Linked DNA regions of Macaca mulatta. The protein of the gene in region 3 purifies or fractionates together with the protein of the main gene of each other region. This does not show direct contact. Links are inferred from orthologs where the notes say so. Each region holds a gene or a part of one and is shown on either strand. Other genes may lie near its edges. The genes, in order: BRD8, ANP32E, H2AZ1, MRGBP, EPC2, CHD4 and MORF4L1.

What was found.
Region 1: the proteins of H2AZ1 (region 3) and BRD8 purify together in Homo sapiens (affinity purification with mass spectrometry; 4 studies listed by BioGRID and IntAct, with this or other methods). This does not show direct contact. The link is inferred for Macaca mulatta from reciprocal best matches to the Homo sapiens genes H2AZ1 and BRD8.
Region 2: the proteins of H2AZ1 (region 3) and ANP32E purify together in Homo sapiens (affinity purification with mass spectrometry; 4 studies listed by BioGRID and IntAct, with this or other methods). This does not show direct contact. The link is inferred for Macaca mulatta from reciprocal best matches to the Homo sapiens genes H2AZ1 and ANP32E.
Region 4: the proteins of H2AZ1 (region 3) and MRGBP purify together in Homo sapiens (affinity purification with mass spectrometry; 4 studies listed by BioGRID and IntAct, with this or other methods). This does not show direct contact. The link is inferred for Macaca mulatta from reciprocal best matches to the Homo sapiens genes H2AZ1 and MRGBP.
Region 5: the proteins of H2AZ1 (region 3) and EPC2 purify together in Homo sapiens (affinity purification with mass spectrometry; 3 studies listed by BioGRID and IntAct, with this or other methods). This does not show direct contact. The link is inferred for Macaca mulatta from reciprocal best matches to the Homo sapiens genes H2AZ1 and EPC2.
Region 6: the proteins of H2AZ1 (region 3) and CHD4 purify together in Homo sapiens (affinity purification with mass spectrometry; 3 studies listed by BioGRID and IntAct, with this or other methods). This does not show direct contact. The link is inferred for Macaca mulatta from reciprocal best matches to the Homo sapiens genes H2AZ1 and CHD4.
Region 7: the proteins of H2AZ1 (region 3) and MORF4L1 purify together in Homo sapiens (affinity purification with mass spectrometry; 4 studies listed by BioGRID and IntAct, with this or other methods). This does not show direct contact. The link is inferred for Macaca mulatta from reciprocal best matches to the Homo sapiens genes H2AZ1 and MORF4L1.

The regions. Positions count from the first base shown.
Region 1 is NC_133411.1:147,033,002-147,037,007, forward strand, and holds the start of BRD8 (bromodomain-containing protein 8), read right to left. Parts: upstream 2,801-4,006; 5' UTR 2,759-2,800; coding exon 2,740-2,758; intron 1,816-2,739; coding exon 1,719-1,815; intron 1-1,718. Other genes in the region: kinesin-like protein KIF20A, read left to right, coding at 3,821-3,985. UniProt on the Homo sapiens protein: May act as a coactivator during transcriptional activation by hormone-activated nuclear receptors (NR). Isoform 2 stimulates transcriptional activation by AR/DHTR, ESR1/NR3A1, RXRA/NR2B1 and THRB/ERBA2.
Region 2 is NC_133406.1:116,909,796-116,913,295, reverse strand, and holds part of ANP32E (acidic leucine-rich nuclear phosphoprotein 32 family member E), read right to left. Parts: intron 2,286-3,500; coding exon 2,120-2,285; intron 1-2,119. UniProt on the Homo sapiens protein: Histone chaperone that specifically mediates the genome-wide removal of histone H2A.Z/H2AZ1 from the nucleosome: removes H2A.Z/H2AZ1 from its normal sites of deposition, especially from enhancer and insulator regions.
Region 3 is NC_133410.1:109,266,998-109,270,877, forward strand, and holds H2AZ1 (H2A histone family, member Z), read right to left. Parts: upstream 2,642-3,880; 5' UTR 2,586-2,641; coding exon 2,583-2,585; intron 2,153-2,582; coding exon 2,075-2,152; intron 1,797-2,074; coding exon 1,683-1,796; intron 1,350-1,682; coding exon 1,220-1,349; intron 940-1,219; coding exon 878-939; 3' UTR 501-877; downstream 1-500. UniProt on the Homo sapiens protein: Variant histone H2A which replaces conventional H2A in a subset of nucleosomes. Nucleosomes wrap and compact DNA into chromatin, limiting DNA accessibility to the cellular machineries which require DNA as a template.
Region 4 is NC_133415.1:115,606,747-115,610,813, reverse strand, and holds the start of MRGBP (MRG/MORF4L-binding protein), read right to left. Parts: upstream 2,801-4,067; 5' UTR 2,729-2,800; coding exon 2,581-2,728; intron 2,137-2,580; coding exon 2,015-2,136; intron 1-2,014.
Region 5 is NC_133417.1:53,767,105-53,770,604, reverse strand, and holds part of EPC2 (enhancer of polycomb homolog 2), read right to left. Parts: intron 3,185-3,500; coding exon 3,039-3,184; intron 2,910-3,038; coding exon 2,566-2,909; intron 1-2,565. UniProt on the Homo sapiens protein: May play a role in transcription or DNA repair.
Region 6 is NC_133416.1:7,529,682-7,533,181, reverse strand, and holds part of CHD4 (chromodomain-helicase-DNA-binding protein 4), read left to right. Parts: coding exon 1-45; intron 46-84; exon of another isoform or gene 85-221; intron 222-306; coding exon 307-404; intron 405-522; coding exon 523-658; intron 659-2,192; exon of another isoform or gene 2,193-2,440; coding exon 2,441-2,512; exon of another isoform or gene 2,513-2,788; intron 2,789-2,794; coding exon 2,795-2,932; intron 2,933-3,018; exon of another isoform or gene 3,019-3,066; intron 3,067-3,208; coding exon 3,209-3,317; intron 3,318-3,421; coding exon 3,422-3,500. UniProt on the Homo sapiens protein: ATP-dependent chromatin-remodeling factor that binds and distorts nucleosomal DNA. Acts as a component of the histone deacetylase NuRD complex which participates in the remodeling of chromatin.
Region 7 is NC_133412.1:57,080,683-57,084,897, reverse strand, and holds the start of MORF4L1 (mortality factor 4-like protein 1), read right to left. Parts: upstream 2,801-4,215; 5' UTR 2,721-2,800; coding exon 2,681-2,720; exon of another isoform or gene 2,611-2,680; intron 2,529-2,610; exon of another isoform or gene 2,336-2,528; coding exon of another isoform or gene 2,044-2,335; intron 1-2,043. UniProt on the Homo sapiens protein: Component of the NuA4 histone acetyltransferase (HAT) complex which is involved in transcriptional activation of select genes principally by acetylation of nucleosomal histones H4 and H2A.

The DNA.
Region 1 (4,006 bases), on a different chromosome or scaffold from region 3:
AAAAAAAAAAAGTCCAGCCTGGGCAACATGGCAAAACCCCATCCCTACCAAAAAATACAAAAATGAGCCGGGGATGATGGCATGTGCCTGTAGTCCCAGCTACTCAGGAGGCTGAGGCCGGAGAATCACTTGAGCCCAGGAGGCAGAGGTTGCAGTGAACCAAGATTGCACCACTGCACTCCAGCCTGGGTGACAGTGAGACCCTGTCTGCAAAAAAAAAAAAGCGAACATAATAGAGTTACTACATAACCCAGCAATTTCACTCCTTGAATAAAAAACTCAAGAGAATTAAAAACATTGTCCACAACCTTGTACACAAATGTGCGTATCATCAGCATTATTCATAATGGTCAAAAAGTGGAAACAACCCAATTGTCTATCAAGCGATGGATAAACAAAATTTGGTATATTCATATAACAGATTATTATTCAGCTAAAAAAGGAATTAAGTATTGATACCTGCTATATAAGAATGAACCTTAAAAGCGTTATGTCAGCCAGATGCGGTGGCTCACTCCTGTAATCCCAGCACTTTGGGAGGCCGAGGTGGGCTGATCACGAGGTCAGGAGATCAAGACCACCCTGGCTGACATGGTGAAAGCCCGTCTCTACTAAAAATAAAAAAAAATAGGCTGAGCGTGGTGGCGGGCGCCTGTAGTCCCAGATATTCGAGAGGCTAAGGCAGGAGAATGGCATGAACCCAGGAGGCGGAACTTGCAGTGAGCCAAGATTGCGCCACTGCACTCCAGCCTGGGCAACAAAGCAAGAGCCTCAAAAAATAAAAAATAAAAAAAATAAAAATAAAGAAAATGTTCTAAAATTAGATTGTGGTAATGGCTGCACAACTGTGAATATACTAAAAACCATTATATTGTACATCTTAAGTAAGTTAATTTTATAGTATGTGAATTATATCTCAATAAAGCTGTTTAAAAAAAAAAATACAGCTGGCCTGGTGGCTCACACCCGTAATCCCAGTAGGTTGGGAGGTTGAGGTGGGCAGATCGCTTGAACCCAGGAGTTCAAGACCAGCCTAGGAAACATGATGAAACCCCTATCTCTACAAAAAAATACAAAAAATTATCTGGGCATGGTGGTGTGCACCTGTAGTCCCAGCTACTAAAGAGGCTGAGGTGGGAGGATCACTTGAGCCTCAGACATGGAGGTTGCAGTGAGCCAAGATCACACCACTGCACTCCAGCCTGGGCCACAAAGTGCAACCCTGTCTCAAAAAAAAAAAAAAAGGCCGGCAGCAGTGGCTCACGCCTGTAATCCCAGCACTTTCGGAGGCCGAGGCGGGCAGATCATGAGGTCAGGTGATTGAGACCAGCGTGGCCAACATGGTGAAACCTTGTCTCTACTAAAAATACAAAATTAGCCAGGCATGGCCAGGCGCAGTGGCTTACGCCTGTAATCCTAGCACTTTGGGAGGCTGAGGCCAGTGGATCACCTGAGGTCAGGAGTTCGAGACCAGCCTGGCCAACATGGCGAAACTCTGTCTCTACTAAAAACTAAAAAAATTAGCTGGGCGTGGCTGCACCACTGCATTCCAGCCTGGGCGAGAGAAGGAGACTGTCTCAAAAAAAAAAAAAAAAAAAAAAGGGAAGAAGAAAAAGTCTACTTACAGCTTAATATGATTAACTACAGAAATCTATCAATGTGAAAGAGTATCTAACAATTTCTAAGACCCAGAAAAGCTGACATCCTAGATAGCTTACCAATTTTGATCTCCACTTCTCATGACAGAAGATGCTAAACACAGCTTCTCTCGGATGGACCATGGCTCTGTGGGGCCAGTACTCAGCAGCTTGTGTTCTGGGAAACGAAAAAAAAAAAAGCCTTGGAAGCAACCACTGAGACTGTAGTGCTAAGCTCCAAAATCCCCAAAAAGGGGACTAAAAGCCTAATACAAAATATTCCAACTTGTTAGGACAAAGTGAGCTACTATCACCAAATCTTGATTTTCACCTCTCCAAGTGAAGTATCACCAGTGACCGTGGTACCAATTTGTTGCATGTGAATTATTAACATTTTATTTCTTAAAACGCCACGGCTTGAAGCTCCGCTTTATTAAAAAATTGGGAATGTCAGATTAGGCAGTTCTCCCTAAAAGCCCAGTTTTAAGAACACTGGACTTTATTCCAGTTTGAACTCATTCAGGGCTTATTTCCCAGGAACCCGAGCGGCCAGCCCCTCCTACAACCCCGCCTCCCTCTTAGCATAAACTTGTTTACTTCTCTCAGATCCTCTACTCCAAATGTCGGGCCTAAAAGACCTTTTCAGTCCACTAAAAGAAAAATGGCTGAAATCCCCGAGATGCAATTTCCTGAGTGGCAAGAAAAGCTCATGGTTAAAAGGCCCCACTTCCACTGCCTCACAAACGTCGAACAAAAAATGAATGGCTCTTTGAGGTGCCGGTTACTCCGTCTGGCTCATAACATCTTTTCGTCTGCACGCCCAAGTTTCTAGAGTGCTTTTACGGTTACCCCGAAGGGCTCCTAACACACTAGGATTCACTAAGCTCCTTCTCTCACACCTCCGCTCCCTCCCTGAGAAACAAGACCCCAGATTTCTGGGCCCCCAAACGTTGGTCTTCACGATGCTGTGGAGCGCAGGTCTCTGAAAACCCTGAGCTCTCAAGCAAACCACTTCTCCCACTCCCTAAGCGTGTAACAAAAATATGGTGCCTAGCCTCGGATCTACAAACGCCTTTCACGCAAAACCTGCTCAGATACTCACTGCCCGTTCCCGTCGCCATCTTGGCCCCGAAGTCTCCAACCCTGAGGAGAGACGGTCTGGTAGGGCCGAAACCCTGGAATTCTGGGAAGTAGAGTACCGGCGTTGGTTCGCGGTGCCTCCTGGGAAATGTCGTTTTTTCCCCTAAGACAAAGCAAGCACCCTAAACCAGTTATCTTGTGCAATCCTTTTAAGATTTTTGCTAAGGAAGGACAGGGGTTGGCGGCTGAAGCCTCAAGATTTCCTTTAGGGTTCTTAGGTAAGAAATGTCTAAGGTTCAAGAAAAAGGGTTAAGCTGGAAGAATCCCAAGCGAAATAACTCCTAACCCGCGACAGTTGGTAACCCGGACCCACATTAGATCTGAGAGGTCAAGCGGATGCAAACTACTGGAATTCCAGTCGGACCCGCCCCTTTTCCTTACGCGGATTGGTAGCTGCAGACTTCCCTATCTCATTGGCCGAACGAACGCAGCGCGTAATTTAAAATATTGTATCGGTAACAAAGCTGCACCTCGTGGGCGGAGTTGTGCTCTCCGGCTGCGAAAGTCCAGGTTCGGCGACTAGGTGTGAGTGAGCCGGTACCCGAGGAGGAGCAAGTGGCACGTCTTCGGGTGAGTGTGCGGCTGTGCTGGAGCCCGGGTTACCAGCTCTTGCCCACGCGGAATAGGCTTTAAGAAATCGGAACTGCAGCCATCTGTTTTTCTCTTAATGCTGCATCTCTGTTCTCACGGTGGTCCTTGAGGTTAGAAAAGGAGCCGAGGGATCCTGACACCACCTCCACAGCACCGGCGGGCGAGGTGCCCTACTTTAGGCCTGGCCTTTTGCTTTTGGAGCCAGATTTCTGTGGACTTCTGTTCGCTTTCAGAAATGCAACCTCAAACTTCTCTCGATTGTTCATTAAGTGAACTTCTCTCATTCCCTTCCCCTTTGCCGATAATTAGAGGGGAAAGGAAGTAGGGAGCGGGACCCGGTGTCCTGGGGCAAGGGACTTATTACCTAAAATTCGCGGCCCCTTCTGTCCCTAAAGGTTCTTCTCCCTGCCCACTTTTTGGTCTCTTTTTAGACCTAGGCTGCCCCTGCCGTCATGTCGCAAGGGATCCTTTCTCCGCCAGCGGGCTTGCTGTCCGATGACGATGTCGTAGTCTCTCCCATGTTTGAGTCCACAGCTGCAGATTTGGGGTCTGTGGTACGCAAGAACCTGCTGTCAGACTGCTCTGTCATCTCTACCTCCCTAGAGGACAAGCAGCAGGTAAAGGAACTGGGGAGTGGC
Region 2 (3,500 bases), on a different chromosome or scaffold from region 3:
ATTTCTGTTTTACAACATTCCTAGTTATTCCTACAAACCATATGCGAGAAGTATGGCTTCTAAATACTAGTATCCAACATATATATAGAGTCTCATGAAAACATTGCATGCACTAAAGTTTGTTTTACTTTGTGAATACTTCAAAACTTGCTTGTGAGATGCTGGAGAGGCTGCAGAGAAAAGGGAATGCTTATATACTGTTGGTGGGAATATAAATTAGTTCAGCCACATGAAAAGCAGTTTGGAAATTTCTCAAAGAACTAAAAATACAACTACCATTCAACCCAGCAATCCCATTACTGGGTATATACCCAAAGGAAAGTAAATCATTGTACCAAAAAGACACATGCATTTGTATGCTCACCACAGCACTATTCACAATACCAAAGACATGGAACCAACCTAGGTGCCCATCAATGGCGGACTGGATAAAGAAAATGTAGAACATACACATGATGGAATACTACACAGCCATAAAGAAAGAATGAAATAATGTCCTTTGCAGCAACATAGAGACAGCTGGGGGCCATCATCCTAAGTGAATTAATGCAGAAACAAAAAACTAAATACTGCATGTTCACACTTATAAGCAGGAGTTAAACACTGGGGACACAGGGACATAAAGATGGGAACAGACACTGGAAACTTCAAAAGAGGGGAAGGAGGGTGGCTGAAGAACTAACTATTAGGCACTATGTTCACTATTTGGGTGACAGGATGAGTAGAAGACCAAACCTCAGCATCATGCAATACACCCATGGAACAAACTTGCACACGTACCCCCTTAATCTAAAATTAAAAAAAAAAAAACCTGCTTATCTATCATTTCATCATTTTGTAACAGTGTTTATCCATCAAATTTCTTCTTACAATGAAGAAGTTTTCACTCAATAATAACAAGCAGTATCCCACTACTAACAGCATTCTGTCATCTGATCTGTCATCCACTTTTCTAAAACTGTATACTCACAATCTAATTCTAGAATATTTTTCTTCCCTCAAAAAGAAATTCCATACCCATATGCAGTCACTCTCCCATTTTCCTCTCTCCCAGCATCGAGCAACCAATAATCTACTTTCTGTCTCAATGGATTTGCCTATCCTGAAGTTTCTGCCTATTCTGAATCATATATATATAGTTTTTTGTTCGGTTTTTTGTTTTGTTTTTGAGACAGAGTCTAACTCTGTCGCCCAGGCTACAGTGCAGTGACACGATCTCAGCTCACTGTAACCTCTGCCTCCCAGGTTCCAGCAATTCTCCTGCCTTGGCTTCCCATGAACTTTCCATATAAATGAAGTCAATCAATACGTGGCCTTTTGTGTCTCTCTTCTTTCACTTAGAAGAACATTTTCAAGATTCATTCATGTAGCATGCATCAGTACTTCATTCATATTTATGGTGGAATAATATTGTACTGTATAGATAAATCACATTTTTAAAATCTGTTCATTGGGCCGGGGCCCGGTGGCTCACGCTGGCTTTAATCCCAGCACTTTGGGAGGCCGAGGTGGGTGGATCACGAGGTCAGCAGTTCGAGACCAGCCTGACCAACATGGGGAAACCCTGTCTCTACTAAAACTATAAAAAAATTAGCTGGGAGTGGTGGCGGGCGCCTGTAATCCCAGCGACTTGGGAGGTCCAGGCAGGATAATTGCTTGAAAACGGAAGGCGGAGGTTGCAGTGAGCAGATATTGCACCACTGCACTCTAGCCTGGGCAATAAGAGCAAAACTCTGTCTCAAAAAAAAAAAAAAAAAAATTCCATTCATCAGTTGATAGATACTTCGGTTGTTTCTACTTTTTGGCTATTACAAGTGGTTCTTTTTTTAAAAAAAAATACTATTTAAGACGTTGCCACTTTTACTGGGTGTACAACTTTCTACAGATATAAAATTTCACAGAGCTTCATGTTATAATAGTCATTAAATTCCCTGAAACTATAGGAAATATAAAAGAAGAAATACTGGCTAGAGCTACGGGTTTTTAATTTTTTCTTGTCTTACTAATATCTTCTTGTGGATTTTTTTTTTCAAACCTAAATTTCCAGGCCCAATCTAATTTGCACAGCTAGAGCAGAGGCTATAATAATGACACACTTATGAGTATTAAGAATGATTACCCTCATCATCCTCCTCTTCAGAGTCCGGTGCTTCATTATCCTCCTGATCAAATCCATCTAAGTATGTGATTTGCTGCAGCAGTTCAAAAATACTTTCTCTATAATCTTCCAGGTTTGTGATCTCACAGTTAAACAGGTCAAGACTTTTCAAATTTTTAAGATTTTGCTGGAAAAGTAAAGTTAAAACTTACATTCAAGATTTAAAATACCATGTTTTTTGTTTTGTTTTGTTTTTGTTTTTGAGACGGAGTCTAGCTCTGTTGCCAGCTGGAATTCAGTGCCGTGATCTCCGCTCACTGCAACCTCCGCCTCCCGGGTTCAAGCGATTCTCTTGCCTCAGCCTCCCGAGTAGCTGAGACTACAGGCGTGCACCACCATGCCCAGCTAATTTTTGTGTTTTTGTTTTGTTTTGTTTTTTTGAGACGGACTTTTTGCTCTTGTTGCCCAGGCTGGAGTGCAATGGCATGATCTTCAGCTAACCACAACCTCCACCTCCTGGGTTCAATTCTCCTGCCTCAGCCTCCCAAGTCGCTGGGATTACAGGCATGCGCCTCCACGCAGCTAATTTTGTATTTTTAGTAGAGACGGGGTTTCTCCACGTTGGTTGGGCTGGTCTCAAACTCCTGACCTCAGGTGATCTGCCCGCCTCGGCCTCCCAAAGTGCTAGGATTACAGGCGTGAGCCACCGCGCCCGGCCTAATTTTTGTATTTTTAGTAGGGATGAGGTTTTACCATGTTGGCCAGGATGGTCTCAATCTCCTGACCTCATGATCTGCCCACCTTGGCCTCCCAAAGTGCTGGGATTACAGGCGCGAGCCACCGTGCCCAACCACATCATTTCTTTTTAATTTATGATTCAGAAAATATACATTTGAAATTGAGAATGATTTTTGTATTTTTTGAGTTTTATAATGAAGGATTATTATATCAAGCACAGCCAGCTCACCTGGCTAATTTTTTTTAATTTTTTATTTTTGTAGAGACAGGGTCTCACTATGTTGCCCAGGTTGGTCTCAAACTCCTGGACTCAAGTGATCCTCCCACCTCTGCCTCCCAAAGTGCTGGGATTACAGACATAAACCACTGTGCCCAGTCTCCAATCTTTTTTCAAAATCAGAGCAATAATTTTCAGCATGTCACTTTTTCTTTTCTTTTTCTTTTTTTTTTTTTTAGACGGAGTTTCGCTCTTGTTGCCCAGGCTGGAGTGCAATGGTGCAATCTTGGCTCACCGCAACCTCCCCCTCCCGGGTTCAAGCGATTCTCCTGCCTCGTGTCACTTTTTCTTTTCCTTCCCTCATACCAGGAAAGGGGGCAAATAATAAAATGACTCAAAAAATAATCAAGAAGAAAGGAAAAAGAATAAAAGGTTAAAAAAAAAAAA
Region 3 (3,880 bases):
AAGCTGTTAATTCCAACTACCACCAGAACTCGGTACTTTCAAATAAGAAAGCCTGCTTCTCTTCAATAAAATGGAGATAGTATATCCCCAATGATGTTACTGAGCACTTAACAATTTCAATTTCAGACTTCAAAGCAGGGCCTAGCACGTAGCACTATTAGCTTCAGAGTTTAAATTCGGAGTTCATTATGTGGATATACAGGACATTCCTACCTATTCTCTCCCTCCCCAAGTCCACCACACTAACAGCATACTAGTGCAGTGCTGTCACACAGCAAGCAAAGTCAATGCACAAACTGAAATGCTCCCACTCCAGCTCCTGACAACTTTTTAAATTAAAACTTTAGTAGCTTATTATATAACATTAAAAATATATACTTGGTCTATCTCACTTTGTTGATCTAGATTTGACAGGTCAGTCACAAAGAAATGTGCTTAGTTATTGCTGCTAGATATTCAAAACAAATTCATATTACAATCAAGCCAATTTAATACACAACTAGTTTGGGATATGACCTTTATTGAGCTTATCCACCAGAGTGGAAATAATGTCTGTACAAAACCAAATGTTTGTTACTATAACTTCTGCATCACAATTAAAATCCAAACAGTTTTTTAAAAACAGTCAACTCAATCAAAACCCACTACTTCAGAATCAATAGCTTCTTTGAAGCCACAGTAACACTTAAATATGGTTAAGACTCGAATGCAGAAATTTGGTTGGTTGGAAAGCTAATTAAACTTCCAACTTGCTCAAATAGAATTACAAAAAGGCAAAATTGTGTTTTTCACAGAGATACAGTCCACTGGAATCACCAACACTGGACAGCTGTTAGAGTATTTAGAGTCCTGAGATAACAAGGAATCCAGGCATCCTTTAGACAGTCTTCTGTTGTCCTTTCTTCCCAATCAGAGATTTGTGGATGTGTGGAATGACACCTAGGAGAGTGACAGGAATTAATTCTACTTAAGATTTTTTTTTTAAAATCACAGTATTTGAAACCAAAAAAAGTATACTGTTCAAGTATCTTTAAAAACGTGCAGCTCAAGTATGAAGTAAAAATTCAGTTATACATATGAATCAAATTTCATGATAAAACCATACTTGCATCAATGAAAATATACTTAAATTTTCTCTTCTAGAAAAACTAATGAAATTAAAGCAGCAAAGAATTCCTTCCTCTGAAGAAATTTTTAAAAATTTTAGAAGTTAACATACCACCACCAGCAATTGTAGCCTTGATGAGCGAATCCAATTCTTCATCTCCACGAATAGCAAGTTGCAAGTGACGAGGGGTAATACGCTTTACCTTTAAGTCTTTTGATGCATTTCCTGCCAGTTCAAGTACCTAGAAGGCAGAATCTAATCAGTTCCCTTCCAACTTTCCTTTGGCCAAGATTCAGAGAACAGAATAAAACCCTCACAAACGCTTATCTACCAACTGGAGTCGTTCCCCACTATCTGACTGGCAAGATATACAGGGGGCACGCAATTTTAATTCCAAGAGCAGAGAACTCAAGCTCAGTAGGATCCTTGTTGAACAGCAGCTCCCTCTAGCGTTCTCTTAGGCCTCTCGCCGCGTTCAGGGCCTGTGAGTTTTCTTGCATCACTTTCCTCCTTCCCTCTTGCCGTCTCCCCGCCCCCCAAACCTTCTCCGGATTATAGGCGTTCACCCATTTACCTCTGCGGTGAGGTACTCCAGGATGGCTGCGCTGTACACAGCGGCAGTCGCGCCCACACGTCCATGACTGGTCGTCCTAGATTTCAGGTGTCGATGAATACGGCCCACTGGGAACTTAAATTTTAAGCATACACAAACATAAATGCACAAAAATAGGAGAACTAGAGATGGGGAAATTATATGCGCGCCAAAGCAAGTGGCACGGGCGCAGCAACGCGTCCCGACATCGAAACACGTGATTCCTCCCCCCCATATTTATCGTATGGGCAGCCCAAGTCGCGACACCGCATCACCCACGCATAGACGAAACGCCCATGGAGAGCGGTGAATAACAAAAAAGGAGATGCAAAGAAAAACATCACGACTCCCAGACCGCACGAACAACTACTGACCTGCAAGCCGGCTCTCTGCGAGCGGGAAACCGCCTTTGTCTTGGCCTTTCCGGAGTCCTTTCCAGCCTTACCGCCAGCCTGCGGCGCGCACACGCCCGCGAGCGGAGGAGGAACGGAGAATATAGAATTACCAAGGCGGCGCGCCCATCCCCCACCGCGGCGCGTCCCGCCGCGAGCGCGTCCCCGCACCCCGCCGGGGTCTCTGGCCCGCGGCGCGCCGCAGGGGCGACCCCGCCCGTCCGCCCCCCGCCGCGCGCTCGCCGCGGCCGCGCGCCTCCGCCCGCCCGCCGGCCCCCAGCGGCGCTGCGCGCGCCACCCAACCGTCGCCGCCCGCCGCGAGATCCGAGGCTGCTCCGCTAGCAGCCGACAAAACACCTCCCCCCGCTCTTCTTAATCCTGTCTCCGCGCGTTCCCAACCGTCGCCACTTCACCCCCATCCCCCGTGTAACGGGTTTTTCTCCCGCCGGCAAAAACCCGCGAAGTCATCGAGCGTCTCTGCGAAGTTTACCATTTCGAATTCTGCTGAAGCTCAAGCAAGCAAGGCAGAGAAAAGGCTAATCGGACCCACGGTGAGATCCCACCACCTACTCCTTCGTCGCACCGCGATTCAAACTGCGCTGTCTCCCGCCTTCCCTGCTCCCTTTATACTGCAGAATGTTCCCTCATCCGGGAACTCGGATTGCTCATCCCACCAATGGCTGCCACCCGCCCTCGGGACGCGTCCTTGAGACTTCAGCCAATGAGCAAGCAAAGAAAAGGGTGGAGGGGCGGGCGCTTCTAAGCTCAAGCCGCGATTGGGACGTGAGGAGCGAAGCGGGGGAGGGCGGAGGGATGGGAACGGGGGAGAAGAAGGGCACCGCGGCGGGAGGGAAGAAACAGAGCAAGCTACTCTGCGGGAGCGCAGTTACCAGCCAGCTGCGGTCACGTGCCGGGGAGGAGGAGCTGAGACCTCAGGGGAGGGGCGCGCGGTAGCGCCCCGGGTCCCCTAGCAGGGCTTTGGAGACCACGTGAAGTCTCGTCCGTATCTAGCACGCAGCCCCCACCGCTCCCAACCCCACCCCCAGCGCCTCTCGGGCGGAGACCTGCGACCTGCAGCCGCCTTCCGGGGCCCCGGGCACCCTCTCCCGACCCTCTCAATCCCTGGCGGCTCTTCCAGTCTGACAGGTGGCGCGAACGCGTCCAGTGAGGGGAGGCTGAGGTTTGCCCTGACGCCTTCCTCAGCCTTAGTAGAGATTCCGTGTTTCTTCCCTCTAGGCGAATCCCCAGTCACCAACAACAGATCAGGACGGGTTGCTCCCACTTTATTTTCAGCCGGGTCTTCCACCTCTCCCTCACTACTTATGAAATCCCCCACGGAATAGTTCTGTAACAGCAAACGGTGAAGCCAAGTCACCTCACTGGTCACGAAACCCTTTTTGTTTACACTTAAGGAGCTTCTGGCGAGGCAGTATTCTTAAATCATAAACCGTATTTTTTGGAGACTACACATCAATGAGTTGTACCTGTAGCCTGATGTGTAAAGCTCATTTAGTGAAACCTCAGAGCTATTATGTGTCAACTTTTCTACAATAAATATTTTGCCACATGACAAATGTTCGGCAAATGTCGACGGAGTAACTCTGACATGATTCACAGGCAGTTACAGAGGGTCGGTGCAATGCAATCAACTGCAAATGATGAGGTTAAAATAATGATACTGTACACACAGTACTATCCTTCCAACTAGTAGATTATTAACACCTACGTATATCTCCAGCTGCTTGGGGACAGTAGTGTCTCAATCTCATTTGTAGTGTTTTAGTGCAT
Region 4 (4,067 bases), on a different chromosome or scaffold from region 3:
GCCTACGGTCTCACCAAGAGACTGCACACCTGTGGGTCCTGCCTGCCCACCACGACCTACGGTCTCACCAAGAGACTGCACACCTGTGGGTCCTGCCTGCCCACCACGACCTACGGTCTCACCAAGAGACTGCACACCTGTGGGTCCTGCCTGCCCACCACGACCTATGGTCTCACCAAGAGACTGCGTTCCCTAAGGCGGTGTGCAGAGGGCACGGTGACAGCCCTGGGGAAAGGCCGCAGGCACCTCGAGTTCTCATCCACATGGCAGGAACCCATGGACACTGAGGGTGTCAGTTGGGAGCGCCACAGGCACAGAACCAGGCAAGGAAGAAGAGCAGATGGAGCAGGGCCACCCGAGTGCTTGCCAGGCACTGCCCTCCTGAGGTCACACAGACCAGAGGGAGAGACCGGGAGCCAGGGAAAAGTGGAGCTGGCGGGAAGGGCCCTGGACTGGGAGGCGATTCAGGAGACAGGGGCTTCTACTCGGCAGTTTGGGTGCTGTATGGAACAGGCAGTCAGGCCACATTTGTGCTCCTCAAAATCTCCTGGGCCAGCTGGTCAGCCTCTCGGGGGTACTCCAGGGGCTCTGTATTTCATAAGGTCTGAAAGACTCAGATCTCAGTCACACAGAAGTGTCATGGTCCAGAGAAAGTGCCAGCCTGTGGTCTTGCCCAGTCCTTACTGATGTCATAGGCCACTGCAGGAATAAGGAACAGGGCCACAGTCCTAGGGCTGAAAGGCCTGGCGGTCCCACATGGCTTCCTGAGTGTCATGTGGGCTGCTGTGCTCATCTGAGCCAGCACCCATGCCCCAGGGGACATTATGGGCCTTGGAGCTGTTTGTCTTCCCCAGAGACAGGCATAGATTTACACCGATCTCTCCAAATCCCGGTGTGGGAGGTGTCTGGGGACCTAGCGCCCTCTCCCACAACCAAGAAGCTGCTGGGAGTTTGGTGACAGGGGGCCTCTGACCCTGAGGGGTGGTGACCAGAGTTCAATGGCTGATGGATACGCTCTAGGGAGGAGCGGGTCCAGGGAGGACCTTGTGAGCTTAGTAGCCAGCTGTGTCTGGGCCACTAGGTACTGGTCACCCAGTGCAAATGCCGCACTGGCTCAGAACGTCCTCAACACACGAGGCGGCAGCAACAGGGGCTTAAGCTTCCAGGGCATTTCTAGGGCTGAGCATCCTTCCTCTCCTCAGACAGCCAGGCCCCTGCACGGCTGGCATCTCTGTCCCCTTTCTACAGCTATGACAAGGAGACCCACATCACTCCACCAATGTCAACGGCAAGCATTCCTTGCCTCAGTGGTGCCCCTATGTCTTCCTGGAAGGGCTGGTGTGGCCCTGAGTCCAGCGTGGCTGGCACAGACTCTCCTTCCACCAGCACAGGTCCCCACTCCTCCTGGTCACCTGACCCCTGACCCCCACCCCATTCTCCAAGCACACCACCTTCTTTCAACTCCTGGACCCACCACCTCCTGCTGCCACAGAGCCTGCAACACCCACCTGTCTCTTGTGGCCAGCCTGCTTACCTAGCTAACGCGCTCGCCCGTCACACACTGCCAGCTCCAAGCTCTGTGAGGACTGGGACTCTATTTGCCTGACTCCCACAGAAGCCACCAAATTCACCTTGGTGTGACTCAGATAGGGTCACCCTCTGCCTAAAGCACTTCTGGGGCATCCCGGGAGGCTGACAAGGGCCTAAGGGCCTGGGGACTCTGCATCCTTCCCTCCCTCCCCAGGGTCTCAGCTGGAGGCTCTGGCCCAGCACCCAGTCTAAAGCAGGCCCCCTGAAAAGCTGGCCAGCTGCTAGCATTGTGTTTGTGCTTTCCATGACAGGCTCTGGAGCCCTGGGATGCCCTCCTTAAGGATGGGTCTCACTGCAGGGGGCTCTGCCCAGCAGACCCCAGCAGGCATGGAGGGGCCTCTGCTCTGCCCAGCTCAGGCTGACCCTCAGCGGTGTGTGGGTTCGTGCCCCCATCGGGCAGCACAGGGAGGGTGGTTGGGCTCACCAGTGCCTGCATGTCGTACATGGTGCTCAGGTGGTCCCAGATGACCTTGGATGGGACCTGCCGCCCGATGTTCTGGCTGAACTTGTCCCGGATACAAATCATGTGGAAGTGTCGGTTCACACCTGGGGGGAGGAGGGGCGGCGGGACAACCGGTCAGAGGGGAGGAGAAGGAGAAAGGGGATGGAGGGGACAGGGTGCCCTGGGGACTGGAGGGGCAAGGGTGGCCGCGGTGGGATGGGGTGGGCCAGGGTGCGGAGGGGCTGTCGGGGGGCAGGGCTGGGTGGTGTGTGTGGGAGGGGGTGGGGCGTCCCGGGGCAGAGGTGGGGGTGGGGCGCTGCGGGCTGGGGCCTCGCGGTGTCACGGGGGTAGGGGCCGGGGGCGGGGTCCGGGGCGGGGTCCGAAGGGCGCGTGGGAGGGGGCGGGGGTCCCGGGACGGGTGTGGCGGGGGTGTCACGGCCCGGGCTCGGCGGGGCGCGTGGGGGCGCGGGTGTCGCGAGCGCAGGCCCCGCCCCGCCCCGCCGGTTGCCCGCCCCGCCCCCACGCGCGTCCGCGGCCTGGGCGCTCACCGACGGGCTTGTGGCCCAGCATGGCGTGGAAGAGGCACACCTCCACCTCGGGGCTCCACACCACTGTCTCCTCCGCCGGGCTGGTGGCCGCCTCCCCTGGGCCCTTGTCGCCTGCGGCGCCCCCGCCGCCCACCTCGGCCTCTCCCATGGCCGCGGCCCGGCCGAGCAAGGAGCCCCCGGCGGGAGCAGGCGCGGCCACGAGCTCCGCGCAGGCGCACTCGGGGGCGGGCGCGCGCTCCGCCAGGCACGAGCTCGGGCTCACGCGCCGGCGTCGGCGCAGGCGCAGCCGAGGCCTCGGGTTCCTTCCCGCCGGGGACTCCGCCCTGCTCCGCCCCGTGCGGGGGTGCTTAAAACGTGTTCCTCTTTAAAGCACAGTAAGTGTTCTAACACTTCACCCAAACAACAACAGAAAACTTTTTTGCTTCAAAGAAAACCATCAGCAAAGTGAAAAGACGACCCACAGATTGGGAGAAAGTATTTGCAAATCCTGTATCTGATAAGGAACTTCCTTGCAGAAGGTATAAATATAACTCTATAATAAAAAGACAGTCTAACTATAAAACGGCAAAGGATTTGGATACACATTTTTCCAAAGAAGATGTACAGATGGGCCGGGCGCGGTGGCTCACGCCTGTAATCCCAGCACTTTGGGAGGCCGAGGCGGGAGGATCATCTGAGGTCAGGAATTCGAGACCAGCCTGGCCAACATGGCATAATCCCGTCTCTACTAAAAATACAAAAAAATTAGCCGGCCGTGGTGGCGGGCGCCTGTAATCCCCGTTACTTCGAGAGGCTGAGGCAGGAGAATCGCTTGAACCCGAGAGGCGGAGGTTGCAGTGAGCGGAGATCGCGCCATTGCAATCCAGCTTGGGCAACAAGAGAGAAACTCCGACTCGGGAAAAAGAAAAAAAAAGATGTATAGATGGCCAATGAACACCATCGGTCACGCGAAACGCGAACCAGCCCGCGTGGGGACCCCCTTCCCCGCCGAGACCGCCGCAACTACGCGGCCGGGGTGGCGAGTACTGCGAGGATCCGGACTCGGGACCCTCGTGCGGTCGTGCTGTGGGGCCAGATGGAGTCGCTGCTGCGAAAGACAGAACGGCCGTTCCTTCAACGATGGAACCGTCTCCCTAGGAGGCAGCAGCTCCGTGGCGGGCGCCCGCAACGGTGGAACAAGACACAGGTTCAGGCTGGGATCCGCAGCCGCAAGGCTAGCGCCGCCCCCAACCGGGGCTGAACCGGCTAGGGGCGCACGGAGCGCGGGCACCCGCACGGCGCAGCCGCGTTCAGCCTAAAAGCCGCGAGCGCGGACTGCGGCAGCGTGGGTGCGGGCTGAGACGAAAGTCAGAGAATTCAGACACCAAAATACGCAGCATGGGAATCCATTCACAGGAAGAGCCAGAACTGGCAACTCCATAGAAATAGAAAGTAGACGCACAGTTGCCGGGGACGGGGGAGGGGGAGGGAAACGCGAGTCACTGCGG
Region 5 (3,500 bases), on a different chromosome or scaffold from region 3:
CAAAAAACCTTGTGGTCCCAGTGACTAGAGGAGTCACAGTCAAGAAGAATGAGTTCAAACAAAATCTTTTACTCTAGGAATAAATTACTAAATAAGACAGATATGATTTCAAAACACTGAATTCTAATGTACCTTAGTTGTTGCTTAAGTCTTAAAATTTTTTAAGGAAAGAAATGGTACTGTGTTGAGGGTATTAAAAAATTTCAGATAGGAAAAATCACACAGACCAAGAAGATTATTTTTTTTCTAATGGTAATGTAAAGATAAAAATACAAAAAAATCTTGTTGTCTATGATGTTAACATAGCCAACTTGTGACTTAAATTCCCTGAGAAGTACATGCACGCCTAACGTAACAGTTTAAATGCTTATTTTATGTTGTATGGTAGTGTCATAGGATTATAGAGGTGATTATAATGGAACTATTTAAGTCGTATTAACTTATATTTTGGACCAATACATATGTTGTATTGATGATATAACAATATATACAGGCCGGGTGCAGTGGCTCAAGCCTGTAATCCTAGCACTTTGGGAGGCCGAGACGGGCGGATCACGAGGTCAGGAGATCGAGACCTGGCTAAAACGGTGAAACCCCATCTCTACTAAAAAATACAAAAAAAACTAGCCGGGCGAGGTGGCGGGCGCCTGCAGTCCCAGCTACTCGGGAGGCTGAGTCAGGAGAATGGCCTGAACCCGGGAGGCAGAGTTTGCAGTGAGCTGAGATCTGGCCACTGCACTCCAGCCTGGGTGGCAGAGCGAGACTCTGTCTCAAAAAAAAAAAAAAAAAAAAAAACCAAAAAAAACAATATATACAACACATATATACTTTCTGGAAAAAAGTCAAGTTAAATCTAGAGTTAATCTGGAATGTATAGTACGAAGCTGAAAATATCTGACAATGTTCACGCTGAGAAGGAAGACATTAAAATCACTTTTTAATGTGGTATACATCAGCAGAGAAAACAATCAGCCTACGGTCAAATGTAATTATAAATGCCTCTATATGGTGTGTTTTAAACTCTCTTTTTAAGAAAAATTATTTTGAGAATGTTTAGTACAGGAATTCCATTTAGCTAAATAAACTGGAACTTTGTCTTAGAGCTGGCTGAAAAAAGATCTGATTTAATACTTGTCAACTTTCTACTATCTTTAGATTTCTAATAATCCCGCAGCCTCAAATTGTATTACACATTTATCCATTTCAGCTTCAAGCACTCTTTCAACTTCACAGACTCATGAACTTTATATAATGGGAGGCCATTTTCCTTACTTAAGTTCGTTTAGGAGAAAATTAACCAACTAATTTGGATAAATGATATGCCAATTTCTAATCATTCAAACAAATCCAATATTTCATTATAACCTTTAAACAAATCACTGTACAAGTCAAGTTGGAAAAGAGGCAGTTCAGTAGCTAAAAGAGACTGAACATTATTGAGACCAATCAAGCTAAAGTGATTCATGATCACTGTAAGGAAGTTTAAATATGATAATTTCACATCCTAGAATGTATCATCCAGGAAGTAATTTAGAAATACAAAAAAAAAAAAAGGTATCAACAGTGTAAGTCTCTATGTTAGTCTTGGGATACAATGCATATATACAACGTATACATTATAAAGATATTTATAAATTATACATACTTGCATACATGTGATAAAACAGACCACAGAAGAAAACAAATCAAAATTGTACCTTAGATTCTCCAGATATTATACATTATTTACAATGTACATGTCATAAAAATATTACATTAATTTGAATACATCTCTTAAAAATGAAAAAACTTCCTGATCTAACTAGAGGTAAGCTATCGGACAAAAATTATTATTCATAGGGGCTTGGCACAATGGCTCATGCCTATAATCCTAGCACTTTGGGAGGCTGAGGCAGGTGGATCACCTGAGGTCAGGATTTCGAGACCAGCCCGGCCAACACGGCGAAACCCTGTCTCTACTAAAAATACAAAAATTAGCTGGGCATGGTGGTATGCTCCTGTAGTCCCAGCTATTTGGGAGGCTGAGACAGGAGAATCGCTTGAACCCAGGAGGCAGAGGTTGCAGTGAGCTGAGATCATGCCACTGCACTCCAGACTGGGTGATACAGCGAGACTCCATCTAAAAAAAAAAAAAAAAAAAAAAAAAAATTATTCACAGGGAGTCTCCTAAAAATCATTTTCCAGAAAGAGTTTTCAAAGGTACTCTCAAGGAGTAATGGTTACATTTAATCAAAGATTACGCACCAAAATGAAAATTACCTTTAACATAAGCAGTAGATAGTACTGCGCTGTGATTATCTGGTGGCAGCTTATAAGCAGTCTGCTTTGTAGGGAAGTCTGTATGCATTCTGCCTACATTTACCACACCAGGAATACACCCGAAATAGATGTCAGTGGTTTTACAGTACTAGTTAGGACAATTTGGTTAAAATGTGAGGCAGAACAGTACAATTTTGTTTCTTAGGTTGGGGAAAAAAATGCAGTAGGTTAAGATAAAATTCCTTTCCCAATAAAATTAAGTAAAAAAGAATAGCAGGATATACTTTTAACACAGCAACAGCTTACCTGATATGCCATTCTTGCTGGTGTTCAATAAAGCTACAGATGCTGCAGAAACTCTTTTATTGTTCACAGTCTGCCCTGGTTTTCTTGAGGTACATTCTTCACTATCACTGTCCTGTAAATTTAGTAGCCTTGGCTGGAAACACTGTAGTCGACATGATCTGATATTGCTTAATATTTCAGAAAGGGACAGTCTATTTTCACAATGTTTACTGGAAGCATTGGTCCGAGAGAAATTAGAAGAAAAGTCTATAGTTTGGGAAGAGCTTGAAAAACTATTCAGCATTTCAGGGTCTATCTGTTTTAGGACTGGGTCATGTTCTGTGGATATTCGGTCCATTATGACCCTGAAAAGCAAAATAAAACCAAACATTAACTAAGACAGCTGAACATTTTTTCTTTGTCTTCTGTTCCAGATAGCAAACAAAAACCAAAAACCAAAAAACAAATACCAAAAGTGAAAACAAATACTTCACCTTCCACCTCTGCCAATTCGCCTCCTTGCAAATCCTATACATCTTCTTGGGACTGTAAGTGTTGTAAGGCAATGCCTATACCTCAACTTATCCAAATCTGCCAGTTCTGAATTTTCACATGAATGGTTAGCTTGGTCCAAACGAGGCTGCAAAGAAAGAAAAAAAAAAAACCCAAAAAACTCATGGAGTAAATTTGAAATGAAGACAGGTTAGATCATGATAAACATGAAGTAACTGCAACATTAGCAGAACAATTAAAATCTAGACATAAAACTGTAAAAATCGGGCTTCACTGACTATTAATCAGGTTAAATTTTACAAAACTGAATCAAAAGTTCACTCACCAAGATTACCCAAACTGAATTTAGTTTCTAAAGATAAATTCACTTAGGGTCCATTATACTTAAAAAGGAATGTATCTTTTTAAAAAAAATGCAGCTTTTAACGTATGTGTACAAAGTA
Region 6 (3,500 bases), on a different chromosome or scaffold from region 3:
CAGGGGATACGCAGCCCAACACTCCTGCACCTGCCCCACCTGCTGGTAAGTCTGCCTGTCCTATCATTTTCTGTCCCTCTCTTTTTGTCCTGGCCTATTTTTCTGCTCCCCTGTGCTCAGTTCTAACAGGGTAGTCTGGCAGGACACACAGTAATTTCCCTCTCAGTTTAGGAGGGCCGTCCTAAGAATGGGGCTGGCTCTTAAAGGCACGAGAGGACAGTTTAAGATGAGACAAACTGGGAAGAAATGACCTTCTCTCTGATGTAGGACCTTCTTCCTAATTGATTGTCTCTTATTGTTCTGCAGAAGATGGGATCAAAATAGAGGAAAATAGCCTCAAAGAAGAAGAGAGCATAGAAGGAGAAAAGGAGGTTAAATCTGTAGCCCCTGAGACTGCCATTGAGGTAAGAGATGGGGGTGACTGAATGCCACACTAAAAACAAATGTATAAGTCCAGTCTTCCTTGTAGTTGCTGGCCTGTCTGCTTCATCTGTTTTGTTTTTGTTTTTTTTTCCTTTGAAGTGTACACAGCCCCCTGCCCCTGCCTCAGAGGATGAAAAGGTCGTTGCTGAACCCCCTGAGGGAGAGGAGAAAGTGGAAAAGGCAGAGGTGAAGGAGAGAACAGAGGAACCTATGGAGACAGAGCCCAAAGGTAAAGGTATCCACGTTTTTTTTTTTTGAGACAGTCTCGCACTCTTGCCAGGCTGGCGTGCTGTGGTGCCATCTTGGCTTACTGCAACCTCCACCTCCCAGGTTCAAGCGATTCTCCTGCCTCAGCTTCCCGAGTAGCTGGGATTACAGGCATATGCCATCATGCCCAGCTAATTTTTGTGTTTTTAGTAGAGACAGGGTTTCACCATGTTGGCCAGGCTGGTCTCAATCTCCTGGCCTTGTGATCCACCCGCCTTGGCCTCCCAAATTGTTAGGATTACAGGCATGAGCCACTGTGCCTGGCCTTTTTTTTTCTTTTTTTCTTTTTTTTTTTTAAAAAAAGGAGTTTCACTCTTGTTGCCCAAGCTGAAGTGTAATGGCGCGATCTCGGCTCACTGCAACCTCTGCCTCCTGAGTTCAAGCGATTCTCCTGCCTCAACCTCCTGAGTAGCTGGGATTACAGGCATGTGCCACCATGCCTAGCTAATTTTGTATTTTTTAATAGAGGGGGTTTCTCCATATTGGTCAGGCTGGTCTCGAACTCCTGACCTCAGGTGATCCACCTGCCTTGCCCTCTCAAAGTGCTGGGATTATAGGCGTGAGCTACTGTGCCTGGCTGGTGTCCATATTTTTAGGCACTACAGATCCCTGTGTGAACCATGGTCACTCATGAATTTTCACTGGGGCTGTAGAGATATCAGGAGGAAGCGATACACTGAAGAATCCTGCACCCTTGATTTTAGGTGGCAGGTTTTCCTATCTCTTATGACTTTATTATTTTTTATTTTTTTTTTTTGAGATGGAGTCTCACTCTGTCACCCAGGCGGGAGTGCAGTGGCACAATCTCTGCTCACTGCAACTTGCGCCTCCCGGGTTCAAGCGGTTCTCCTGCCTCAGCCTCCGAGTAACTGGGATTACAGGCATGCCACAACCATGCCCAGCTAATCATTTATTTATTTATTTATTTATTGAGATGGTGTCTCACTCTGTCGCCCAGGCAGGAGTGCAGTGGCATGATATTGGCTCACTGCAACCTCCACCTCCTGGGTTCAAGCGATTCTCCTGCCTCAGTCTCCTGAGTAGTTACCATGCCCGGCTTTTTTTTTTTTTTTTTTTTTTTTGAGGTGGAGTCTTGCTCTGTCGCCCAGGCTGATGTGCAGTGCAGTGGTATGATCTCGCCTCACTGCAACCTCCACCTCCTGGGTTCAAACAATTCTCCTGCCTCAGCCTCCTGAGTAGCTGGGATTACAGCACGCACCACCATGCCCGGCTAATTTTTGTATTTTAGTAGAGACGGGGTTTTACCATGTCGGCCAGGCTGGTCACAAACTCCTGACCTCGAGATCCACCCACCTCGGCCTCCCAAAGTGTTAGGATTACAGGCGTGAGCCACCATGCCTGGCTAATTTTTGTATTTTTAGTAGAGACGGGGTTTCACCATGTTGGCCAGGCTGGTTTCTAACTCTTGACCTCAGGTGATCCACCCACCTTGGCCTCCCAAAGTGCTGGGATTACAGGCATGAGCCACCACACCTGGCTAATTTTTGTATTTTTAATAGAGATTGGGTTTTCCCATGTTGGCCATGCTGGTCTTGAACTCCTGACCTCAAGTGATCTGCCTGCTACTGTCTCCCAAAATGCTGGGATTACAGGCATGAGCCACTGTGCCCAGCTGACATTACTGTAATCGCAGACATTTAGATGTAGGTCTATCCAGTTGGATAATAGTGTGTAACAGAGGAGAATGTTCTTCCTTTAGGTATATTTTCAATAACATTTCTTCCCCTAGGTGCTGCTGATGTAGAGAAGGTGGAGGAAAAGTCAGCAATAGATCTGACCCCTATTGTGGTAGAAGACAAAGGTGGGTGTTTGGAGAAGTTGATTGTGGTTTAGAAGAACTCTAAAACCGGAAGCAAGGACTGTATCTGCCCTGCCTCCCTGTCCATACTCATCTAGCCATTTTATCCCAAAAGACTGCACCTGTCCCCAGTGGGCCAATGGCACCATTTTCTGGGTCTGAGAGACACCCAGGTGGAGAAGGGGTGGAGGTGGATGGATTCTTGTAGCATACAGTGTTCTGGGTAAGGGCGATGGGTGCTGGGCTTTGGCTGGAACCGACATTTTTCTTCCTTATATTCTGTAGAAGAGAAGAAAGAAGAAGAAGAGAAAAAAGAGGTGATGCTTCAGAATGGAGAGACCCCCAAGGACCTGAATGATGAGAAACAGAAGAAAAATATTAAACAGCGTTTCATGTTCAACATTGCAGATGGTGGTTTTACTGGTATGGAAATGAGGGGCCCACCAGGGTTAGAAGGATCGGATGTGAAATTGGGGTTCTTGTCAGAAACCGTGGTACAGGGACTTTACCTCTGTTCGATGAGGGAATGCCAAACTGATAGTGTACTCCCCTGGGTTCTGTGGAGAAAGCCAGAAGCAAATTATATAAAGATGGATCCAGGGATGGGGGATGGTGGGGGACAAGAATAAGTAGCATTTTCAATTCTCACAGATGTTTGCTTCCCGCCCCCCCTCCCACCTTCCCTAAATTCCTCCTCAGAGTTGCACTCCCTTTGGCAGAATGAAGAGCGGGCAGCCACAGTTACCAAGAAGACTTACGAGATCTGGCATCGACGGCATGACTACTGGCTGCTAGCCGGCATCATAAAGTATCCTTTGCCTGAATCTGGACTGAGGCTTTTGGTTCTGAAGGTCTCTTAGTTTGAGGTTTTTACTTTTCTTGTTTTGTTTTTCCTGAGCACTTTTCCAATAGCCATGGCTATGCCCGGTGGCAAGACATCCAGAATGACCCACGCTATGCCATCCTCAATGAGCCTTTCAAGGGTGAAATG
Region 7 (4,215 bases), on a different chromosome or scaffold from region 3:
GAGGCAGGAGAATGGCATAAACCCGGGAGGCGGAGCTTGCAGTGAGCTGAGATCCGGCCACTGCACTCCAGCCTGGGCGACAGAGCGAGACTCCGTCTCAAAAAAAAAAAAAAAAAGGCACAAGGAATTCTCTGCTGCTATTCCCCTCTTAACTAGCAACCCTCTAGAACTAAAGCGCTTCCTTAAACAGCCAACCTTAGGCTGTTCCTACAGAAGCGATTAACTTTTTGTGCCTTGACAGTCTGATACAGCCTACGAGCCGAATGATTTCATAAATACATAAAACACACAGTAGTACAAAGGCAACCGACTGTATCGAAACACCAAAACATTTTAAATGTCACGTTCTATGACATTACAGGACAAAGACTTGGCTAGTCATCCAGCAACTACCCTAATTTTGAAGAAACGAGAATGATTGATAACTGAAAACATCTTCCACAACTGTAATGCTGAGATCTGAAAATACTAATGCGGCGTTTTTTTTCGGGGTTTGGGGGGAGGAATTACACTGTTAACTGAAAACTAAACTTGGGTACACAGAAAAAACACATCTTCCTCATTCAATTTCACGGACCCTCTGAATGCACTAAGAATATCTGCTCTAAAACGTCTAGTAAAATAATGAATCCATAGGAGGTAGAGTCACAGATTCTCAAGGTGGGAGAAGGGTATTAAAAGTCACACGGCTGAGCGCGATAGCTCACGCCCGTAATCCTCCCACTTTGGGAGGCCAAGGCGGGTGGATCGCTTGAGCCCAAGACTTCAAGACCAGCCTGGGCATCATGAAACTCCGTCCCTACCAAAAATACAAAAAAAAAAAAAAAAAAAAAAAAAAACCCACAAAGAAAGAAAAAACCCCTAAAAACAAAACAGAACAAAACTCAGCCGGGCATGACGGCGCGCGTCAGTGATCCGAGCTACTTGGGAGGCTCGCTTTAGCCCGGGGGGCAGAGGTGAGCCGAGTACCATAACTGCCCTCCAGCCTAGGTGACAGAGTGAGACATTGTCTCAAAAATATAAACAGGCCGGGCGCGGTGGCTCAAGCCTGTAATCCCAGCACTTTGGGAGGCCGAGACGGGTGGATCACGAGGTCAGGAGATCGAGACCATCCTGGCTAACATGGTGAAACCCCGTCTCTACTAAAAATACAAAAAACTAGCCGGGCGAGGTGGCGGGCGCCTGTAGTCCCAGCTACTTGGGAGGCTGAGGCAGGAGAATGGCGTAAACCCGGGAGGCGGAGCTTGCAGTGAGCTGAGATCTGGCCACTGCACTCCAGCCAGGGCGACAGAGCGAGACTCCGTCTCAAAAAAAAAAAAAAAAAAAAAAAAAAAAATATATATATATATATATATATAAAAAAACAAAAAAGTCACTCGTTAACAAAATACCCCTAAAACTCCCTTAAATATCCCATAAGATACGCAGTACTACGGTTTAAGATTTATGTCTCTAAAAGGAATTTTAATGCAAGTCTAAAAATCCCTAGAACAAAAATAGTACGCATGGAAACACCGTATTTACGGTAACTAGCATAAATTTCCATAGCAATGAAAACGAATATTAGAGTGTTCCTCCTTTTACAGGATTTTACTTCCTTTTTAGCTATTAGACCTCCACCTTATTATACATAAATTGAAGCGTTGTGAAAATTTAAAGAGCTGCCTTCCACTGGCAGTCTAACCCTAGCCAAACCTCATGCCAATCGAAAACCAATTAATAAAAATAAACTCAACTTTCAAGTCACTGTTAAACACTGCAACTAATCAAACAATTACTGCATTTAAAAAATGACGTCGAGACAATGGGACTTACAAAGGCAAACGGCGTTAACACTGCATTCAGATCATTTTTATTTACTTTTTACGAGCAACTGCAAAGCGAGAGCGCACTAACGTTACCATAGGATCTTGGCACTGCGCCTAAGAGCAGAATGAGGCCTCCAGGCAACACAAAGCGGAGGAAAACGCTCATCCCACTGATCCTTTTTTTTTTTTTCTGTCCCCACCCACCACTCTGAGGTAAGCGAAGGGTCCCGGCAACCTTGCGGTCTTCGTGGAAGGGGGCGCTGCATCTGCCCTGAAGCTGCGCCTGCATACGGGGCAGAGACGCCAGCGGCCATGATGAAGCCGCCATGTTGCAACGGCCATTTTACAACGCAGTTCTCCCGCCCCGTGGCGCCAAACCCACCCCCATCTGCAGCTCCGAGTCTCCACCGAACGCGACCACCCCGGGGCTCCAGGGAGCACCTAACCGCCGGTCGTGGCTGCCCAAGCGGCCGGGCGCGCTGCAGGACAGCCAGAAACCACCGCCGCCCCTCCCCCCGCCGCCACATCACTTCCCCTAACCGCCGCCATGGCGCCTTGGTCGCCTCCCTACAATAGGCTGCTCTCTCCGCGCCCTCTTCCTCAGAACAATAACAAACACTTGACGAGGGTGTGCCACGCGCCAAACGCTCCCTCTCCCACTCTAACGCCTGCGTAGCACTCTCGCTTCACAAAGCGCTCACAATGACGCATCGGAATTGCCATCCGCAATGCGCTTTCCCCGCACAAAGCACTATCCGCCGCCTTCTCAGGGTGCACCCCGAGCCACCCCCGGCCCTCAAACCTCAACCACCTCGAGCCCGCCTCCATCTCCTGCGCCGTTAGGTGCCTTTTTCCCAAAGGCGCACACTCACCCTCCTGGAATTTAGGCTTCGGGTCCTGCTTCGGCGCCATTTATAAGTGATTCGCCGCCTCCTCCTTCTCCCACCACCCCCGACTACCGCCCCCTACTCTCTACCCCACCCAACTCCGCGTCAGACGCGCCGTCAGGCACTGCCAGCTCTACATCCTGGGCCGGATTTGCCAGCGCCCGCAGACCTCACAGCAGCGCGACCCGCGCAGCCGCTGCTCCAGCCAATGACAACCCGCCGCGCCCGCGCCCCTGCGCCCGCGCCGCCCCGGGGCACGCCGGGACTGGTAGTTTCTAGTTGGTGGAGGCGCAGCTGGGTGGGGGAGGGGCCGGCTACCCTACCCCACTCCTCCCCACCCCCCCGCCACTCCCCATCCCCCGGGCTGCTGCGGGTTGGTAAAGCGGGGAATTGATTACGTGGGAGGTTAAAGCAGAGCGGGCAATGGGGGAGAGTCGGGGCGGTGAACCACCAGCGATGAAAAAATGGGAAAAACCCAGTTGCGACGTCCTTTGGGCAAATAAGCCCCCATTGATGTTGAAGTAGCCGGAGAGAATAGGGCTGCCTCGAAAACCTATATTCAATAGCATTCCGCTAGTTTTTGCATAGAAAAGCTTTAGGATCAGCAATGTGGCCACAAGAGGATGGGAAGTGGGGTCCGCTTCTGGAAGCTTCGTTGTTTAGCAAGCCCACTGCCTAGTCTATTTGGTGGGATTGATAGCCATTTGTTGGCTCCCAGGTCTACCTCCTCTTCTCCAGTCCCGGCCTTGCGGAAATGAGGAAGATGACGTGGGAAACACTAGTCAGGCTTTGGCTTTTTGAGATAATGGAGCTCTGCTATCCGCAAAAGGCTAGTGTGAATATGCCAACCTCTGCATTCCGTACCTGCCCTGTTTGTACTTTTTTGTCATCTAATTTTTTGAGCCATGATTGAATGTACACACACTAAACAAACGGATTTCTTCAATATTATATATTTTTCTTTTCTTTTCTTTCTTTTTTTTTTTTTTTTTTTTTTGGAGATGGAGTCTCGCTCTGTCGCCCAGGCTGGAGTGCAGTGGCCTGATCTCGGCTCACTGCAGCCTTCACCTCCCAGGTTCAAGCGATTCTCCTGCCTCAGCCTCCGGAGTAGCTGGGATTACAGGCACGTGCCACCACGCCCAGCTAATTTTTGTATTTTTAGTAGATACCGGGTTTCACCATGTTGTCAGGCTGATCTGGAACTCCTGACGTCGTGATCCGCCCGGCTTGGCCTCGGAAAGTGCTGGGATTACAGGAGCAAGCCACCGTGCCCAGCCTGCCTCCATGGCTTTTCTAAGCCCTCCCCTGCCCGGGTTCCACACCCTACCATTTCCGGGCCCCTCTCCATTTTTCTGACTTCCATTTCTCCTTCAGTCTTTTTAACACAACCCCTTCTTCGACAACAGAAACCCACAAAAATCTTCGTTATTCCAGTTGAATATACACCATCTTGTCACGGCTGCTACTTGCAAGCTTGTCCAACCTGCCTTATTTTCCTGTTGTTTTGTTTTGTTTTGTTT